2 linked regions of the Macaca fascicularis genome follow. The protein of the gene in region 1 purifies or fractionates together with the protein of each later gene. This does not show direct contact. Links are inferred from orthologs where the notes say so. Each region holds a gene or a part of one and is shown in the gene's direction. Other genes may lie near its edges.

Region 1 (4,165 bases):
AGGATTATCTACCTGGATACTGAAATCTTCAAGAAGTAAGCGGTGTAGTGTGAAGAAGTTACAATATTCTAAGCTCTTCACGGATAAGGGAAGCATGTGCCACGTAGGTAGCCTCTCTAGTCCAGCACCCAGTATATAGCATATGCGGAATGAATACCTGGTGGCTGCTGAAGGCCAGAACAAGGTGCCTGTGAGAGGACCTGATGCCTGGGGTTCTCGTGACAGGAGTGGGCCTAGTTTTTGGTGTAGAATTAAGCCTTGAATGCACCAGCGGGATCATATTGAAAAGAAACCTTCTAAGACTACAGGAAGATGCATCCTCTGACAATGTACGCTCTGTAGGCATCCCAAGTAGCTGGGCTGGGGATTAGATGGACTCCAAGGCATTTCCTCAGGTGGCAACGGGCGGATCCCTGGGAAGGCAAAGCTGTGCAGGAAAAAAATGGCAAGATGCTCTATTCCCTCAGGGAAAGCCCTTTCCTGGGAGCAGGGAAAGCCCTTTCCTGGGAGCAGGGAAGGCGAGGCAGTTTGGGCTTGGTCAGTTTGTCCCTGCCCTCAGGGTTTGTTGGTCCTGGCAAAAGAGGGCCTTATTTTATTTATTTTTCTTAGAGACAGTGTCTTGCTCTGTCGCCCAGGCTGGAGTGCAGTGGCTCATCTCAGCTCACTGTAAACTCCACCTCCTGGGATCAAGCGATCCTCCCACCTCAGCCTCCAGAGTAACTGGGACCACAAGCACCACAGGCGCCCGGCACAACGCGGCTAATTTTTTTTTTTCTTTTTTTAGAAAGAGAGAGGTAGTCTCCCTATGTTGCCCAGGCTTGTCTTGAACTCCTGGGCTCAAGCGATCCTCCCGCCTCGGCCTCCCAAAGTGTAGGGATTACAGGCGTAAGACCCCGCGCCCTGCCAAAAGAGGGCTTTAGGGCACCCCAGAACGCGAGATTCCCCTCATCTGTCATCTTTAAAGAGGAGGAAGTGGACTCCAAATCGAGCGATAGTCCATTCGTCCCTGGTACGGTGATTGCCGGGAGGCCAAGACCAAATGTGTCTCCTTCCGGCTTTTGCACCACACTAACTAACCGGCGCCAGGCCGCAGAGCCGCCCTGGCCTTCGGCGAGGACTTGGGCGAGTGCGGTGCTCGCTGCTCCAGAGTCCCACCGCGGAAGTTGAGGCCGCAGATTCCGAGGGCGGGGTGGAGCGCGTTCGGTAAGTACCCGGACCCGGTGAAACGCACTGCGTGGACTGCGCCTGCGTCCGCACTCAGCTTTTCAGCAGTCTTTCTTCAGGCCCTGAAAGCCGTCCCCACGCCGGTCTCTTTTTTCTGCCTTCTTGTTTCCCTCCGGCGAGTCGGCGCGACGGTGAATTTCCGTTTCCGGCGGTGTCCATGCTGAACTGAGGAGTCGCAGTTGCCAGCAGGTTCAGTACAGCGGGCTGGGGTAGGCGGCGGTGGAGTCCCTGATTCTGGGGCACTGGGAGGATCGCGAGTCGTGCGCGTGGGAAGGTCCTTCCCCGGTCCTCCGGGTCATCTTTGCTCCCGAGGAGCGGCATATTTCTCATCTGCCGGAGGTGTCCTGTGGTAGTTGGGAGAGTGACCGGATGAATCCCTGCAGAGAGCCCGGACAGGGAGGGAAGGTGGCTGGGAGACGTAGTTTCCTGGCGACTTGGTCTCGGCAGGCGACTTAGTCCTGAGTCGGATCTGTTGACCCGAAATTGTGCTTTTCCCACCAAAAAAGGACAGGGAGAGAAACATTAGTACAAGTTCCGAACTAAAATATAGCAGAGAAGAAACATAATCATTGAAATCACACAGCTCTTCAGTTTCAAAGCGTTCCTAGCGCCTAGCTTTTCTAACTCCCGGCCAGTGTTCTTGACATTATGGTGATATATAAAGACTTTCTGTTTCCGCTGGTGTGTGAGTCTGTGGGAAGCCTCTGACTCACCTCCGTGCTCCAGTAGCACCCTGTGCAGCCTTCCAATGTCGCCCTTATTGCATGGCGCGGAAGATACTAGTTTGGATTTCCTCTGCAAGTCAGACCATAGCTGTATCCATTTACTGGCACAGTGCCTAGCACATCATAGACAGACAAAATATTTATTAAACTGAATGAATACAGTACCTTAATTGAATGAAATAGTATCCTGCTCCCCCCTTTTTTTTAAATCAAGCTGTCAGATTTTATGAAGCCCCATTTCCTAAAAAAAACTCACTAATTTAGTGATTACCAATTTATTAGCCACAGATTCCCAGGTAACTCAGAAATCACTGGAAGGGTCTCTGTAAGTTCATGGGGTCTCCAGGTATCATCTAGAACCAGTCCTATCTCACAAGTTAATACTTGACAATTATATATTGTCTGTTGTACTCTTTATAAAATGTGCTAAGATATTGCTATTTCTCAAATGTATATAAGTAAGTTGTAATTTAGGAGTTTTACAGAGTCAACAGGTACTAAAAGTAATACTGCGATCATATTGGAAGTTCATAAAAACGTTTTACATTTTTTTATTAAAATGTAAGTTTTAGTTTAAGTTGGGAAACCACTTCTTTACTCCAGTTGATACTTAGGTCTGAGCTGTCCGGTGTGGTAGCCACATGTGACTTTAGAGTTAGAATGAAATTAATTAAAAATTCATTTTTTCAGTTTCCCTAAGTATATTGTTAAGTAACCACATGTGGCTGATGGCTAAATGGCTGAAAAGTACAGATATAGAATATTTCTATCCTTGCAGAAATAGATACTGCTGATGTTGACACTTAAGATGAATAAAAAGTAACAGCAATAAAATGTAACTTTAGGAGAGGTAACTCATCTAATTTATAGCATAACAGAGAGAAATGAAATTGGCAATGGTTAAGCAATTTCTACCCTTGTTCAGTAAATAAATACATCATCTCTTCATAAAGAAATAAATGAAATTTACTGTTTTTCCCTGGGTATTGCCTGGATTGTAAAATGCTTCTCCCACCTCCTTACCCCAACCTTCTTCCTTGTAGGTTAGAGTTACTTGTTATTGGTAAATAGCTACAATGGAGACTAAAGACCAGAAGAAACACAGAAAGAAAAACAGTGGGCCCAAAGCTGAAAAGAAAAAGAAGCGGCATCTGCAGGATCTCCAGCTAGGAGACGAAGAAGATGCCCGGAAGAGAAATCCCAAAGCTTTTGCAGTTCAGTCTGCTGTGCGGATGGCTCGATCCTTTCACAGGTATGTTAGGGTACAGTGTGATCGTTCTTCCATTGATTCTTTTTAAATAGTAGGAGCCTCTCACAGGTGACATTTGGATTCATGAGTCTAGTCCAGCTCCAAAGGACATGGAGATGCGTGGTGTGTGGCTTTCACTAAAACGTGAGAAGCTTTCCCATAGAAGCTGCCTTGCCTCCAGCATCTGCACACTGGTTGGTGTTTATTGCCCAAGATGCAAGAATTTATAGAATTTGTTTGTTCCTAAATTTTAAACTGTTTCTATGGTGATAAGTGTGCTTTTTTCCCCCTAGGTATGTTTTACATAGTTGTAATATAAAATACAAAAATTACAATATTTAATACTAACATAGCTTTATTTAGTGTGCCCTTGTGATATGCCTAGCGGTATACTTTAAACATTATTCAACTAAATGCTTCCAGCAGCCTTACCAGAGTAGGAATCATTCTTGCCCTCATTTTATGGGTAAGAAAACTGAGGTCAAGAGAACAAGTTACCTCCAATCATGTAACCAGTAAGTAGGAGAGCCAAATTTAACTCCAGAGCCTCTGCTCTGTTATGATGCACTGCCTCGGTATTTACCTTTTGGTTTTTTTAAAAACTATTAAAATCACTCTTAAAACAGTCAGATTTAAGGAGTGTTTAATTTTCAGCTCTCTATGCTATTGAAGTCGTCTTGTTACATCTTTATTGAACAGCAGTTATTTGGATGGGGCCAGAAGTTAACAAGTTAATAACGGACAAGTTAATTATATATTGTCTGTTGCCCTCTCAATAAAATGTGCTAAAGTACTCATATATATAAATGTACTAAAAAAGTTTACTTATGAAGTTGATACCTTTTACTCTATTTTGAAAGTGAGTTTACTATTTATTTATTTATTTATGTATTTTTAATGAATAGGACTCAGGATTTGAAGACAAAAAAGCATCATATTCCAGTGGTTGATCGAACTCCACTGGAGC
Region 2 (3,500 bases), on another chromosome or scaffold:
ATTGCTGGAGGTTTTTTCAGTAACTTTTTTGGTGATCTGGAAGACAGATATTTCTATTCTTTTTTTTGTGTGTGTGTGAGGTAGAGTCTTGCTCTGTCACCTAGGCTAGAGTGCAGTGGTGCGATCTTGGCACACTGCAACTTCTGCCTCCCAGGTTCAAGCAATTCTCCTGCCTCAGCCTCCCTAGTAGCTGGAATTACAGGTGCCTGCCACCATGCCTGGCTAATTTTTTTTTTTTTTTTGTATTTTTTAGTAGAGACAGGGTTTCACCGCTTTGGTCAGGCTGGTCTCAAACCCCTGATGTCAGGTGATCCATCCACCTCAGCCTTCCAAAGTGCTGGGATTACAGGCATGAGCCACAGCGCCTGGCCCAATTCTCTTCTTTTCTAGTCATATCTGCAATGTAGATTGAGGAGTAAGACATTTACGTGATTCTGCTCCCACTACATGTCCTTTTAATTTTCCCCATCAGAGTAGTAAAAGCCTTCATTTTGATAATCTGGCAAGTTTCTCATTTGGTTAATTTGTATAAATAAACATACAGATTTGAAGGATGTAGTGAATATATAGTCTTTTTTTTTGTTTTTTTGATCTAAAGAATGGTTTTGTGACCCTTACAACTATTTCAAATAACGGACCCAGAATCCATTTGAGAAGTGTTCATTACTTTGATAAGAATATGGTCCTGATTGTGATTGTTTGGATTATAGTAAAGCCTAAATTTATTTTATGAAAGTCCCAAGAACTTTTTCCCATTTAAGTGACTGAACATGCCTCCTTCCTCTAATGTTAAATATATTTTTGGTAAATTGTGCCAGAGGGCATTGCAAAATATTTTGTGCAGCAGAAATACCCTGTTCCACCATTTATGTCCTCCTAGATCATTTACAATTTTTTACATTGATATGTAAATCTAGTAAGAAGCTTTTTAGATAGCCAGGCATGGTGGTTGATGCCTGTAATCCCAGCACTTTGGGAAGCTGAGATGGGCGTAAGAAGCTTTTTGGATAGCCAGGCACGGTGATTCATGTGTGTAATCTCAGCACTTTGGGAAGCTGAGCCTAGGAGTTCAAGACTAGCCTGGGCAACATAGTGAGACCCTTTCTCAAAAAAAAAAAAAAAAAGATCAGCTGAGCGTGGTGGCATGTGCCTAGGGTCCCAGCACTTTGGGAGGCTGAGGTGGGAGGATCACTTGAGCCCAAGAGTTCAAGACCATCCTGGGCAACGTAGTGAGACCCTTTCTCTTAAAAAAAAAAAAAAAGAAAGAAAGAAAAAGAAAAAAGAATTAGCTGGGCATGGTCCCAGCTACTCTGGAGGCTGAGGTGGGAGGATTGCTTGGGCTCTGGAAGTCGAGCTGCAGCAAGCTGTGATCATGCCACTGTACTCCAGCTTAGGGGATAGGGCAAGACCCTGTCTCAAAACAAAGCTTTTTGAATGATATGATTTTGTGAAAAGTGAATAAAGATAGTAGTTTCCACTAAAGCCATAACATATTAGGCATTTCCATGTATCAATATTAAATTAAATGAGCTACTATTAATGGCATTGAATGCCATAAAGTACTTGCCTTTTCTTGGCATCATGTTTGGTGAATGAGGTGTATGAGAAATCTCATTTCAGCAGCCCTGGAGGGTGCTGGTTGCTGGTGTGATGATTTAAGCACATCATTTGTAATTCCCCTCTGTTGTCAGCCTAGTGTGCTGTTGGGACACTAGGGTGCTTATTAGGATCTCTATTCTATGCCCTGCCATGACTTTGGCAACTCAGATGGCTTAGGGAGGGGCTTAATTTATTACTGATTATTAAATTACATTCACAGTTTATTATTGTTACAGGGGCTTGACAATAGTGAGTCAGCTTTTGGAGTGAAGTGTGGGCTCTTAGCAATGGCATTTCAGGCACTCTTGGATGCCCTTGTCAGACTTTCCCCTTGGAACTCACTGCCTTCATTACCTTTGTGACATTTTAGTTTTTTTCCTGCTGAATGTGGCTCTTTTTCTTCTGGTTTAAGGAACAACCTTATATTATCAGCCTGGCCTCCTGTATGGTGGATCTGTGGAACATGACTGTAGCGTCCTTCGTGGCATTGGCTATTACCTGGAGAGTCTTCTTTGCTTGGCTCCATTTATGAAGCACCCGTTAAAAATAGTTCTACGAGGAGTGACCAATGATCAGGTTGACCCTTCAGTGAGTATTGAGAACAAACCGTGGTGTGGTTTTTGTTTTGTCTCTTGTCACAACCCGACTTGTGAGACAAAAGTTCCTCATAAAGCAGTTTTATTTCAAATGTATATTCTTTTTGTTATTTACCTTGAGATTTAGAGGTTAATCACTCCAGGATGCAGATGAACCAAAACTTAGGGTCATCAAATTCAGGACTATTGTTAACAGTTACCCAGGCGCCTTTTGTTGTTATCTAAGAACCTTCAAAACAGTTGCTTGCAGTCATAGTGGACATGAACTATAGTTCTGTTGGCTGTAGTATGTCAGAGTGGAGTTTTTGTAAGGTCCTGTGGTAGCTGAGGCTAGAGGGCAGCCTATCAAATTTTGGGCAGGAGATCATAGTTCCTTGGCATTGCTACAGCATAATCTTGACTTACCCAGGCTTCAATCATAAACTCAAGGGCTTTTGTTTTCTGAGAAGAGTTTGCAGATAGAAAAAGGGCATAAAGTCAGGAAAGGAATGTGTGAGATTTGGTAGTTTGTGGGTGTCAGCAAGCTTTTCATTTTTATTTTATTTTTTTCACCAAGAGCCATGCCAGAGCAAACTTTTTATTAAACATGCTAATTTTTCTGCAGATATGGAGAGAATGGTTTAATATCAAGCAAAACTTTTTATTATGATCACAACTGTCTTCGTGCCATTCTAGGATGGTGTGTGTGTGTGTGTGTGTGTGTGTGTGTGTGTATGTCAGAGAGATACAGAGAGATTAGAGAAGTCTAGAGAAGTCCTGTCCAGGCCTTCCTCCCTTGTAGGGAGGCGTGGATTCCCTGCTTTTGGATGCTCTGCTGTCAGAGAAGATACCTTAAAACTGATGGCCATGATGCAAAGTCCAGACAGAGGTAGTATGCTTGTCTTTACCATTACAGGCCAAGACCAATGAATGGGTAGCTTCTGAGGCAGAATGTGAATTATGTAGCTTTTCTACTCAGGGAGGACCAATGAGGTGATGCTGTGAGCCCCAAAGTAGAGACTGCTGGTATTCACCAAGATACCTACTAGGGTATAAACGTTGTTAATATGTTCTTAGGCAATAAAAACTTATTCTTCAATTCTTGGAAATTTAGCTGCATAAACTCTTTTTCCTGGGATACTGAGTATAGTACAAGATCTGGAATTCTTAAGCTGTAAAGGAATGTTGCGTAAACTCTTTAGAATATTTAATTAAGTGTTTTTTTATTTTTATTTTTTGCATTTTCTAGAAGACTATAGGAAATGAGTTCTTTGCATAAAAGAATGAGAAGAGGTATAAATACCTTTAGGTTGGAAGAGGGGAAGG

Evidence for each region. Proteins that work in one complex are often made in the same cells at the same time.
Region 2: the proteins of BMS1 (region 1) and RCL1 purify together in Homo sapiens (co-immunoprecipitation; 4 studies listed by BioGRID and IntAct, with this or other methods). This does not show direct contact. The link is inferred for Macaca fascicularis from reciprocal best matches to the Homo sapiens genes BMS1 and RCL1.

The regions. Positions count from the first base shown.
Region 1 is NC_088383.1:52,040,519-52,044,683, forward strand, and holds the start of BMS1 (ribosome biogenesis protein BMS1 homolog), read left to right. Parts: upstream 1-1,365; 5' UTR 1,366-1,413; exon of another isoform or gene 1,414-1,433; intron 1,434-2,992; 5' UTR 2,993-3,025; coding exon 3,026-3,201; intron 3,202-4,103; coding exon 4,104-4,165. UniProt on the Homo sapiens protein: GTPase required for the synthesis of 40S ribosomal subunits and for processing of pre-ribosomal RNA (pre-rRNA) at sites A0, A1, and A2.
Region 2 is NC_088389.1:94,285,422-94,288,921, reverse strand, and holds part of RCL1 (RNA 3'-terminal phosphate cyclase-like protein), read left to right. Parts: intron 1-2,011; coding exon 2,012-2,187; intron 2,188-3,500. UniProt on the Homo sapiens protein: As part of the small subunit (SSU) processome, it plays a role in 40S-ribosomal-subunit biogenesis in the early pre-rRNA processing steps at sites A0, A1 and A2 that are required for proper maturation of the 18S RNA.